3 linked regions of the Mus musculus genome follow. The protein of the gene in region 1 interacts with the protein of each later gene in a pairwise test. Links are inferred from orthologs where the notes say so. Each region holds a gene or a part of one and is shown in the gene's direction. Other genes may lie near its edges. The genes, in order: Mtmr9, Emilin1 and Mos.

Region 1 (3,990 bases):
TAATCATTTTGTTTCTCTACTGAGAGTCTTATTTTATGTCACAGGGGGAGTTAGTACAAGACCTGTTAGGATGAGCACTTACGGGTAGTTCTTAGCCACTAATGACTCTGATGGTGATTTTCTTTTTTGAGCAGATGTAAGTTGAAGCTACAACAGAAAACAATGTCTTTGTGGTCATGGGTCAATCGGCCCGGCGAGCTGAGTAAGTTCACCAATCCACTCTTTGAAGCCAACAACCTGGTCATCTGGCCTTCTGTGGCGCCACAGAGTCTTCAGCTGTGGGAAGGTAACTCCCCACTGTGTGCAGAGATTCACATACTGCAAGCTGTGCCCTGAGCTGGCCTGGGGTCACATGCCACAGTAGTTGGTTTTTGAAGATGGTCAGCTGGTAACCCACAGACCTGTGTATGGGTGTTAGTGGTTTCTCAGTGTGGCATGACCGCTGACTGCCAGGAGTTGGTAGACAGCTGGGACATGAACGGATTTTAAGTTCTTCTATCTGTTTCATTTCTAAGCATCATTACAATTAAATGGGTGTTAAATGGTGTCACACAGTCATTCCAGTAGGATGTATAAATAAGCACAAAACACCAGTGGGCGCTACGGGAACCACTGTTCATATGGAGTAGCAATTCATGATGCATTCCTAACCGTAGTCTAAAACAGGGTCTTACATGTGAGTTTTCACATGAAGCTAATCTCCTTAAAGAGCAAAGCTTGTTTTGTTTTGTTTTTTTTTTTAAAAAAAGAACATATATCACATAGTGTATATCAGGTGTTCTTTCCAATGGCACAGTAGATGTTCCATTAACTTAGTAATCACTTTGAAGACAGTGAGTGCATCTTCATGCTTGTTTACAGGAAGTACCATACACACAAAGAGGCTGTTGTTTAGGAAGTTCTCCTAGGTTTTCGTTTGTGTCTGTTGACAACTCGTAACTTGTGGTGCTCTTGGGATAGCTCATGTATAGAAGGTGATTTGCCCATCAGGTGGTGCTTTCTCTGGACTGCCTCTTGTTCCTCTTGGCATGTCTGCTGAGTGCATCTTCCTCCTCAGGCTGGGTGCCTCCCTCCTTAGAGTGCAGGGAAGCTAAATGCCTCCATCAGTGTCATCAGTGTCTAGGTTCCCTGAGCAGCCCCTGTGATTTAAATCTGTGATGGGGCAGAACCTCTCTGCTTACTCTCTGGATTGTTGTAGAATAAGTAATTTCCTAAACGAGAGATTGCTGCTTTGCTTCCTTTGTAAAGGTCTTGGGGCTGGTGAAGTAGCTCAGTGACAATCTGAGTTCTGTCCCCAGGACTCATGTGGTGGAAGTAGAGAACCTACTGGCTCTTGCAGCTTGTCCTCTGACTTCACACACACACACACACACACACGAATATACACACACACACACACGAATATACACACACACATGCATACATCATCTGAATAAAATGTAATAAAAACTTTCATTTTCCGAGGCAGTTTACTTAAAAACCACTGTCATACTTAATCACTGAAATGAGAGGCCAGCTGTTGGAGACAAATGCCCTGTCTAGAGTGGGGCTCCAGAGATGAAGTGGTGGAGGAAACACAACTGCCATGTGCTTACATCCTAGGAGGCGTTCATAGTGACTTCTGATCCAAGAGTAGTAGACAGTGTAGTTGTGGAATAAAAACAACAACACAAGCCAGCTTTCTCTAAGCATTTAGCCTCGGTATCTATGAAGTTCACATGCACAGCCAGAACCAGGTGTGGACTGGATATTTCAAAAAGTTTGTCCTGGCCGGGCAGTGGTGGCGCACACCTTTAATCCAGCATTTGGGAGGCAGAGGCAGGCAGATTTCTGAGTTCGAGGCCAGCCTGGTCTACAGAGTGAGTTCCAGGACAGCCAGAACTACACAGAGAAACTCTGTCTTGGAAAAAAAAAAAAGTTTGTCCTGTGGCAGGTTAGTTTCTAGTTCACATTTTCTAAGCCGCACAGTACTATAAGTATTTACAGTGTCCACACTGAATAGGACAGATATCTTGAGATGCTTGTGTGCATAGGTTAAAAACAAACACTGTCATTTGATGTAAAGGATTCAGCATCCAAGAATGTAATGCCCAGGAGCCATTCTGGAGTCAGTGACCTGAGATGACAAGCACCCGTTCAGTCCACAGTGAGCCAGTGGTGGTTGTCTGAGGAGAGGAGCAGTTCCCTGTGGAGCTGGACAGTGACTGATGGTGTAGAGTGATGTGAGTTATTGATGTTGAGGTGTAAGTAACAGCCTGTGCCTCTGATGCCGCGGCCACCATCACTCTCACAGTGAGAACGGTTTCACTCAGGCAGGCAATCTCCCAGACCAAATAGAAGTCTGCAGTTGTAAAATGGGTGACTTTGGTTATGAAAATGAAGACTTCGTGGCACTCTTAAGTTACCGGCTTATTTTCATGAGCATATTACAACGGTGTTTCTGGTTATAACCAGTAAACACCTCCATGACAACTGCAGTTCTTTGCTACTGTGTGGCTTCTTTCAGTAACTGAAGAGTCTGTGTAGTTTAGAGTATTGTGAGGCACAGGGTAAGCCATGTGTGGTGGTGCATGTCTGGAATCCTAGCTGCTTGGAGGCTGAGATAGGTGGATCACAAGTTTCAGGCTAGCTTGGGCCATTTAGTGAGACCTGTTTCTCAAAATCAGGAAGAGCTGTCGTTCCATAGTAGAGCATTTTTCTGTTAAGTGTAAGGTCCTGGGCTCAATCTGTAATGCTGCAAAACAAAAGTTTAGACAAATATAACATGAGTTGTGGGAAACTGTACAGTGCGTGGAGTTACCAGGAACACAGTGCTTCTCTGAACATCCTACTCCTGTTTTTCATTCCCGGATTCTACAGGAATCTTCTTACGCTGGAGCAGATCCTCCAAGTATCTGGATGAAGCATATGAGGAAATGGTTAACATCATTGAATATAACAAGGAGTTACAAGCCAAGGTCAATGTCCTGAGAAGGCAGTTGGCTGAATTGGAAACAGAGGATGGGCTATGAGAGAGTCCTTGAAAGATCGCCTACCTGTCCTGAGGACCTGTCTAGTCCTGAGTCGTCTCTCCCTCTGTTTGCCCTTCAATTCATGTTCACAGTAGCCTTGAACTTGGCTGTAGGTGCGGAATCCCTGTAATGTAATGGCCTTCTAAGCACTGCAAGGTGGCAGTCACTCACAGATATGGCCTGTTAGGCCCTCCACTTAATGAGCAGGTGGTGCTGTCACCTCACTACATATATGACACCTATGCCCTATGCTGTTCCCCATCTCTAGTTTCTCACCAGTGGTCCAGACTAGTTAAGAATCCATCTACAACATGGGCCAGGCTTATTTGCATTCGAGTATAGAGGTGTTTCTTTTTTTAATGGAAATAATTGGGAAGCCACAATTGTATGTTTAACATGTCATCCTGCCCCTATCCTCCACTCCCAGTTATAAAAAGACCATTCTTTTTTAAAACAGTTTTGGACTAACAAAGCCTGTTTTGTCAAGGAGGAAAATCGGAATAGTTATTTGTGATAAATCTGTGTCAAGGGCAACAGGTGTGGTCCTCTGATAACTTCATTAAGGAAAGATAAATTTGCAAGTTGACACTAAAAAGTGTGTGCCCTAGATAACTGAAGTAGAATTCCTTACTGGTAGCCATGCTTCTATTGAATAGGCTTTTCAGGTTTCTGACCATTCATACAAAATGTGTTTTGAGCAATGGGTGTGAATGAAGCCATCACTTGACTGGCATTCACTTTTCAGAACTGCACAGCACGGACAGCACCCGTGAGCCCGAGGTCTGCGCTCTTACTGCACTGGTTGGTATTTACGTCCATGTGACTTATTTCACTTTTAAATATTTTAAGAGATGACTTGTACCACAGCTAGACTTTGATGTCAGAGTGAGCCATTTGCAAATCTGTCCTGTGTTAGGCAAACAGGATTGCGCTGGAGTGGGGAGCTAGGAAAGTGGCACAGCTGCTTGAGACCGTGCTG
Region 2 (4,412 bases), on another chromosome or scaffold:
CTTTGTCCTGGCCTCTTGGCAATCGGCCTGCCCTGCTTTTGTGGTTCTGTGTTTGGGGGCCCTGTTCCATTCCTTAATTGATAGTGACAGAGTTTTAGACTTGCCTTTGCAACTCCAGTACCTCTCCCGTGCCCCACACACAACAACATCTCGTAGCCTGTGTCTGTCTGGTACTTCAGCTTTCCCCCTGTCTGTCCTGTCCCTCGGAGACACAGGTCCAGAACACAACAGGAGAACACAAAGCCAAGAGGCAGCAGGCAAAGGAATTACTTTTCCATTGTGGGCCTCTACAAGGAGGCAGGGGGACCCAATGGTGTGTAGCGGCTGAGCTACACACACTTACACTCATACAGGCCTCCAGGCTAGAGAGAGAGCAACCGAGCCTGAGCTCTATTATCACTGCAATCATCTGTTCTGGTTATAGCCTAACCTCCACCAGTGACACAGGAAGGAGATTCCTTCCCCTCTTGTGTCCTCCATTGTTTAAGAAAAGCCTCTTTGTCTGAGTCCTTCCTCTTCTCCCACACTGGTGGATTTCCTATCTGTCTCCACAGATGATGCTTCTCTTTCCCTCTCCGGGTCTCTTGAGTCACTACAGTCATTTAGAGTCTCATCCCAGCCATTCATTGACTTGATGTGTCACCTTGGACAAAGTAATTACTTTCCCACTGTAGGCCTCTAAAAGGAGGCAGTAGGACCCAATGGTCCTATGAGTGCCCCCTCCCCCATGCGCTATCCTCTGTACAGGCCTGCCTTCCTCCTCCCCAGGACTCACTCTCTCCTCCCAAGAGTCCTGCTCTGACCAACCCAGGGCTTCTGGGTCTCTGGCTGGTTCCTGGTTCTAGCCACCAGCACTGGGCCTCCTATTCAGATTTGGCCCCAGCTCCATGTGGCCTGTCTGAGAGGCTGGCCTCAAGCCCGGCGGCAACTCCACATTTCTCTGTTTTTCCTTTCCCCCCCCCCCCCTCTTTCCCGGAGTTAACAAGAAGCAGATGTGGCGCACGATGGTTGGAGAGGTGGGGGAGGAAGGGGGAGGCTGGACCGCCAGCCAGACAGGGGGAAGGGAGGAGAGAGAAGGGAGGGAGGGAGAGAGGAGACTGGCCCGCCCATGGTCACTCTTGTGCCTCTCAACAGCCACAGGAGCAAAGCTCTGTCATCCTTAGGATCCAGTCATCAGGGAACAGAACAGGGAGACCAGAAGAGGGCCAGCTGGAGCCAGGGGGTGGAGGCTCAGGAAACAGTCTCTGAAAGGGGCAGGGACCAGGCACAGGAGGCCAGGGGCCCAGAGAACAGACTCCCCTCAGAAGTACAGAAGAGGAGAGCGGAAGGAACTGAGGGAGGGACAGACAGGAGCCTGAGGAGGAAAGAGGAGGGGGAGAAGGGGTCAGGCCCAGCAGCCAAGGAGGAGGCGTGCAGCTGGGGGCTGCAGGCAGGAAGCTAGGGACAGAACTGGCTCGGCGGAGTACTGTCCCCTGAAGCAGCGGCATCCCCTGGAAGTGCGGTATAGGCATTATTGGTCAGACCAAGATGTGCCTCTAAGGGCAGCAAGGAACATTTCACCATGGCCCCCAGAGCCCTCTGGAGCTGCTATCTCTGCTGTCTGCTGACCATAGCCACGGAAGCTGCCAGCTACCCTCCTCGAGGTTACAGCCTCTACACAGGAGGCACTGGGGCCCTGAGTCCTGGGGGACCCCAGGCCCAGAACTCACCACGGCCTGCCAGCCGCCACAGGTAAGAGTCTGTATTCCATCCAGGGCTGAAGGCTGTGGTTGGGAAAGCCTTTAGAAGGTGGGCAACAGGCTTAACACAATGAAGAGGACAGCGTGAACACCCATCCATCAATGGCCTACCCATATGCACCTTCCGGTGGAACTTTTTCCAGGGCTTCGGTAGCCTAAGGGGGATCAACTCTCGCCTCTTCCCTAAGGAGGTCTGTAGTTGGGTGCCCAGGGACACTACACCAAGGGGTATGGACTATCCTTCCTGCCAGCTGCCAGCTGTGTACCAGCCAGCTCTGGATCAGGCAGACCTTTCTCCTCCTCTAGGGCTTCCTTGGCCCCATCCACTAATGTATAATTCTGACACTCCTCCTGCTCTGTTCCCTCTGGCTCTACAGCAGCTCACAGACTAGAAGCCAGTGTGAATGGGGTCAAGAGTGCAGCACCGCAAGCCCCAAGGGGACAGAGCCCATCAGTGGCTTATTCTCTACTTAAGCATAGGTCGGACATTTGGACACTGGCCTGCCCCGCTCTCCTCTTTGAAGGCTGGGTGGAGGCACCATGAGCAGGGGGTCATGTACAGGAACCCAGCTTACTCAGCTGGGGCTTGAGATAGGCCCAAAGAAGTACACAGGGACTGTGAATTCTAGGGTACCCTGGGGCCCCACAGTCAGAAGGGCTGACTTCTCTGTGTGTGTTTTTATCATTATGTTTTTCCTGTCTTGAAAAGTCTTTATCTGCCATAGTGACACAAAGTGTGTGTTTGTCTGTGTGTGTCTGTGTGTGTGTGTGTGTCTGTGTAGGAGAGGGGAGTGGGTGCTGCCCCTGCAAAAACCCTAACTTTCAATGGGTCCTTAAGGCCCCCTTCATCTTTTGACCCTCCTTCAACCTCCGGGCCCACTGGGGCTTGTGTCTTTGGTCCTTTGGCCCAGGTAGGGTTGTGCCTACAGGAACTGGTGTGCCTACGTGGTGACTCGGACAGTGAGCTGCGTCCTTGAGGATGGAGTGGAGACCATTGTCAAGCCAGACTATCAACCCTGTGGCTGGGGCCAGCCCCACTGTTCCCGAAGTATCATGTGAGGCCCCAACTTAGGGGATTGGGTGCTTACTGGGATCCGGGCAAGGGCAGACAGCTGGTGGCCATCTAGGGGGTCTGTGCAAAGGAGGGAGCAGGGGGAAGGACAGGATTTCAGTCAGAACCATTTTGAGAAGACAGCCGGGTCCTAGCTTGGCTGGTGAGCTGCCACAGGCATTCTCCCCTTGTCCCCAACCTTTGGGACTTCTGCTGACACAGGTCAGTCTTAAAGAGATTAGCTTAGGGTTCCAGCACAGGGAAAGAAAAAACCAGGATTTAGCCCTTAACTAAAAAGCAGATAGCTGTTAACTGAGCAGGACCACACACTGGCTAGAGAGGTAGACCCAGCCTGAAGCACAAGACAACCAGCTGCACTGAGAGAATACAAAACCTTCCTTTCCTCTGGCCAGGTACCGGAGCTTTCTTCGCCCTCGCTATCGGGTGGCTTACAAGACAGTGACAGACATGGAGTGGAGGTGCTGTCAGGGTTATGGGGGCGATGACTGTGGAGAGGGCCCTGCTTCCGTTCTGGGCCCAGCACCCTCCACACCACTTCCCCGGCCCAGGCCTGTGCGCCCCAACCTGTCTGGCTCCAGTGCCGGCAGCCATCTCAGTGGACTGGGAGGAGAAGGTGAGCCTGCATGTTGCTAGGCATGGGGGAATCCTGGGTGGAAAATGTGGGGCCCAGCTGTGGAGGGAGGGAAACCTCTATGCTCTAAACTTGGGGGGAAGGTGGTTATAACAGAGGTAATGACGTCCCTGAAACTTCGAATGTTTGCATGCTTGTGTGATTTGAGTGTGTCTGGGGGCCGGGTGGGGGGCAGGGCAGAGCTTGGGGGAGACTGATTGAAAGACCTGAAAACTTAAGATCTGGATAAGACAAGAAGGCATAGAGACAATTTGTTCACATACTCCCTCTAGTGGCCAAGGTCCTTCGTAGTCGGGAACAGCTGTGGGAGAAGCGTGGGGAATTCCTTTGAGAATCTCTGTCTGCAGGGAAGATAGTTAAGACTACAAATCCTAGCATGCATTGCACCGGACTACAGGTCCCAACCCCCTCCCAGGCCCCTGGAGACTGCAGGTCCCAGAATGCAATCGCCTCTGTTGTGTTCTTTCCTCCTATGTGTATGAGTTAGGCTAGGCACACCGGATGCGTGGTCCTTTCCTGCCAAAGAGATAACTGAACTATAATTATGGAAACAGGAACTTCTGGTAAACTGGCTGGCCAGCCAGCACCCCAGCAGGCTTGCTGCAAGAGCCTCTTGTTTGTCCCTCTGGTGGTTTAGGGAAGGGCCCAGTCATTGCAACAGTGGCATGTGAAGTACTTTCCCACATTTCCATTTTAAACTGTTTGACAGCCCTAAAAGGCAGGACACATAGTGTCAATCGAATTTTCCAGATAAGGAAATGGTTTCCAAGAAGTCAAGAGGTCCTGGGGACAAGTTGGGTGGCCGGGTGATCTAAGTTTGAAATTTGACATGGCCACTTGTTAAACGCATTCTCTGGAACTACTTGCCTAATTTCTCTGGTTCCCCGTTTCCTGTGCCATCAAATGGCAAAAGTATCTGCCCAATAGAAAAGTTTTAAGAGCTGTGGTCCAAATCTGGCCCAAGGACATT
Region 3 (3,304 bases), on another chromosome or scaffold:
GCTCCTGAAGTCCACAATTCACAGTCCTGAACTATAATCTTATCTTTGTGATTGCTGAGCAAATTTGCAGTATAATTTCAGTGCTTTTAAATTTTGTCCTGCTTACTATTTTCCTTTTTTATTTGGGTTTGATATGCGTGCACAGAATGGGGCTTCTATTAAAATATTCCATGGCTTACATTTTTAATATTTTGTTCTCTTAATATGTTCAAAGCTACTCAACTTTTATTCCCGAAAAATGTTTACTTTAATTATTCTAATTTCTTACATAAAGCATTGAGGTGCTAACAATTATATACTATGTACAAGATGGCAGACTAAATCATATCATACCATCAAGTAGAAACCTGGAGTTTGGTGAACTTTGAGTTGTTTATATGTCTCTCCTTTATTGTCTTCTCAAAACCTGTGATTCTGAAGTCAAAGGGACACAGCTGTCACATGAAAAGTGATCACTTATCACCTGTATGCATAAAACACCTTACCAAGCAGCTAAGAGGAATAACTCCTAGCCACTTTGAGAAACGTTTTTGAATAAACAGAGCAAGGCTCTTCCCCATTCTCCCAGAGATATAGCATAAAACTGAGCGCATTTTTATAAAACAAAAAAGGAGGAATGTGTGGTTTGATGGCCAGACCCTGAATTTGTGTTCAGCATCTGCTTTTCCATATTATAGATGGGTACCAGTGATTCTGAGCCATGTCTATTTCTCCTGACTTTTCCTCTGTTTTCCCACGCTTGCTGATATTTACAGCCGTGGTCATCACAATCACCTTTGTTCCTTTCTTCCTTCCTCCAACTCTGCATTAAATTCCAGGAACTTGCTTTCTGTGAAGTCTAGAATCTGTCTTGAAGCAAACTCACACTCATGGGGTGGCTTAACTTGCCTTGGAAAGGGATATTGGGAGGTCACTGTGTTGTTATGTTACAGAGTCTTAACTTGCTGTTTAAATCAAATACAGTGTCAGAATGCTCCCTTCTGATGAACGTAAAAGGTATGTGATCTGACTTCTATAAGTGATTGTATTTGGATCAAAGACATTAAAGTTACAGATGTTAATTCTTACAAAGGTTGCATCTAATAACCCTGGCAAGTAGTTCAACAAATGTCTGCTGTTTGTATTGCAACTCTTGCAGCCAATAGCTGCTGGGAGTGATTTAATGCAGCTGGAGACTAGCACTAACAATCATTATAGCCTGAAAAGTGTGCACCAAGTTCACTGTACTTTTTTTTTCTCTTCAGTCGAAGGACTGATTAATGATCATCAGAATGTACTTGATTTTTTTTTTCTTCCATTGTATTGTGATTGAAGAATTAGTTGGAAGGTGACGTGAACTTTTGGGCAGGCCAGTACTGTTTAACGGGGGAAGAAGTTGCTAAGGATTCACTTTAGCTGTGAGCAATCGTTTCATCTGAGACTGCCAGGCTTCATCTGCACCCCCAACCCCACCTGACTTATTTTTTAAAAAAGAAACACCTTGTGGAGTAGTGATAGCACAGATGTGGCTGGTTTTGAGAATCAAGGAAGAAGGGAAAGGAACTGGGATGAAGGCAGCAATCTTCAGCCATGCTCCCAAACTTCCCTGGCTGTTCCTACTCATTTCTCCCTAGTGTCTCATGTGACTGTCCCATCTGAGGGTGTAATGCCTTCGCCTCTAAGCCTGTGTCGCTACCTCCCTCGTGAGCTGTCGCCATCGGTGGACTCGCGGTCCTGCAGCATTCCTTTGGTGGCCCCGAGGAAGGCAGGGAAGCTCTTCCTGGGGACCACTCCTCCTCGGGCTCCCGGACTGCCACGCCGGCTGGCCTGGTTCTCCATAGACTGGGAACAGGTATGTCTGATGCATAGGCTGGGCTCTGGAGGGTTTGGCTCGGTGTATAAAGCCACTTACCACGGTGTTCCTGTGGCCATCAAGCAAGTAAACAAGTGCACCAAGGACCTACGTGCATCCCAGCGGAGTTTCTGGGCTGAACTGAACATTGCAAGACTACGCCACGACAACATAGTTCGGGTTGTGGCTGCCAGCACGCGCACGCCCGAAGACTCCAACAGCCTAGGTACCATAATCATGGAGTTTGGGGGCAACGTGACTCTACACCAAGTCATCTACGGTGCCACCCGCTCACCGGAGCCTCTCAGCTGCAGAGAACAACTGAGTTTGGGGAAGTGCCTCAAGTATTCCCTAGATGTTGTTAACGGCCTGCTTTTTCTCCACTCACAAAGCATTTTGCACTTGGACCTGAAGCCAGCGAACATTTTGATCAGTGAGCAAGACGTTTGTAAGATCAGTGACTTCGGCTGCTCCCAGAAGCTGCAGGATCTGCGGTGCCGGCAGGCGTCCCCTCACCACATAGGGGGCACGTACACGCACCAAGCTCCGGAGATCCTGAAAGGAGAGATTGCCACGCCCAAAGCTGACATCTACTCTTTTGGAATCACCCTGTGGCAGATGACCACCAGGGAGGTGCCTTACTCCGGCGAACCTCAGTACGTGCAGTATGCAGTGGTTGCCTACAATCTGCGCCCCTCACTGGCAGGGGCGGTGTTCACCGCCTCCCTGACTGGAAAGACACTGCAGAACATCATCCAGAGCTGCTGGGAGGCCCGCGCCCTGCAGAGGCCGGGTGCAGAACTGCTCCAAAGGGACCTCAAGGCTTTCCGAGGGGCACTAGGCTGACTCCATCGAGCCGATGTAGAGATAAGCTTTTTGTCTCTGTTTATTTTTTTAAAGAAGTAAGGATGGTGTGGAAGAAAACATACCACTAGGGCATATTTTTAGGAAATAAAGTTACCACGAACTTCAGCCTGAAGTGCTTTTCCTAAGCATAACGGGGCCACAGATCTCATGGGCATCGCTGCTGGTAAACTAAGCCGTTTTGGGGTTCCTGGCCCTACTGTATCATTTCTGTAGTAAGGTTTGTTCCTGGATGAAAAAAAGAATGGGGGTGATGGTGGGAGGAGAGGACATCCCTGCTCCTAGGTATGAAGAACAAAGTTTATCGTGAATAAAAGGGAGACATAGGACATGGACCTGACTCTGAGCCATGTGAGAAGAGGTAGGAGGGGAAGGGAGAAGGAAGAGAGGAGAATCAGGTGTAGCAGCCCAAAAGAGGAGAAGTAACTAAATGGATTATACAGGGAAGGACAGCTGGGGAAGAAGGGCATGCCAGCCAGGACCACCCTGTACTGATAGGGATTGAGGGATGCAGGGAGAACCTGGCACCAGGTCCACTTTGTTGTGTTAAATAGGCACTTCAGCCATTTGTCCTGGGGTTGAAAACTTAGTTACTGGTAAAGAACATTT

What was found.
Region 2: the proteins of Mtmr9 (region 1) and Emilin1 interact in binary tests that used the Homo sapiens proteins (3 or more experiments, as listed by UniProt). The link is inferred for Mus musculus from reciprocal best matches to the Homo sapiens genes MTMR9 and EMILIN1.
Region 3: the proteins of Mtmr9 (region 1) and Mos interact in binary tests that used the Homo sapiens proteins (3 or more experiments, as listed by UniProt). The link is inferred for Mus musculus from reciprocal best matches to the Homo sapiens genes MTMR9 and MOS.

What each region holds. Positions count from the first base shown.
Region 1 is NC_000080.6:63,523,087-63,527,076, reverse strand, and holds the end of Mtmr9 (myotubularin-related protein 9), read left to right. Parts: intron 1-134; coding exon 135-286; intron 287-2,859; coding exon 2,860-3,011; 3' UTR 3,012-3,467; downstream 3,468-3,990. UniProt on the Homo sapiens protein: Acts as an adapter for myotubularin-related phosphatases. Increases lipid phosphatase MTMR6 catalytic activity, specifically towards phosphatidylinositol 3,5-bisphosphate and MTMR6 binding affinity for phosphorylated phosphatidylinositols.
Region 2 is NC_000071.6:30,912,314-30,916,725, forward strand, and holds the start of Emilin1 (EMILIN-1 precursor), read left to right. Parts: upstream 1-1,472; 5' UTR 1,473-1,561; coding exon 1,562-1,731; intron 1,732-2,650; exon of another isoform or gene 2,651-2,668; coding exon 2,669-2,794; intron 2,795-3,203; coding exon 3,204-3,424; intron 3,425-4,412. UniProt on the Homo sapiens protein: Involved in elastic and collagen fibers formation. It is required for EFEMP2 deposition into the extracellular matrix, and collagen network assembly and cross-linking via protein-lysine 6-oxidase/LOX activity.
Region 3 is NC_000070.6:3,870,156-3,873,459, reverse strand, and holds Mos (proto-oncogene serine/threonine-protein kinase mos), read left to right. Parts: upstream 1-1,354; 5' UTR 1,355-1,645; coding exon 1,646-2,677; 3' UTR 2,678-2,802; downstream 2,803-3,304.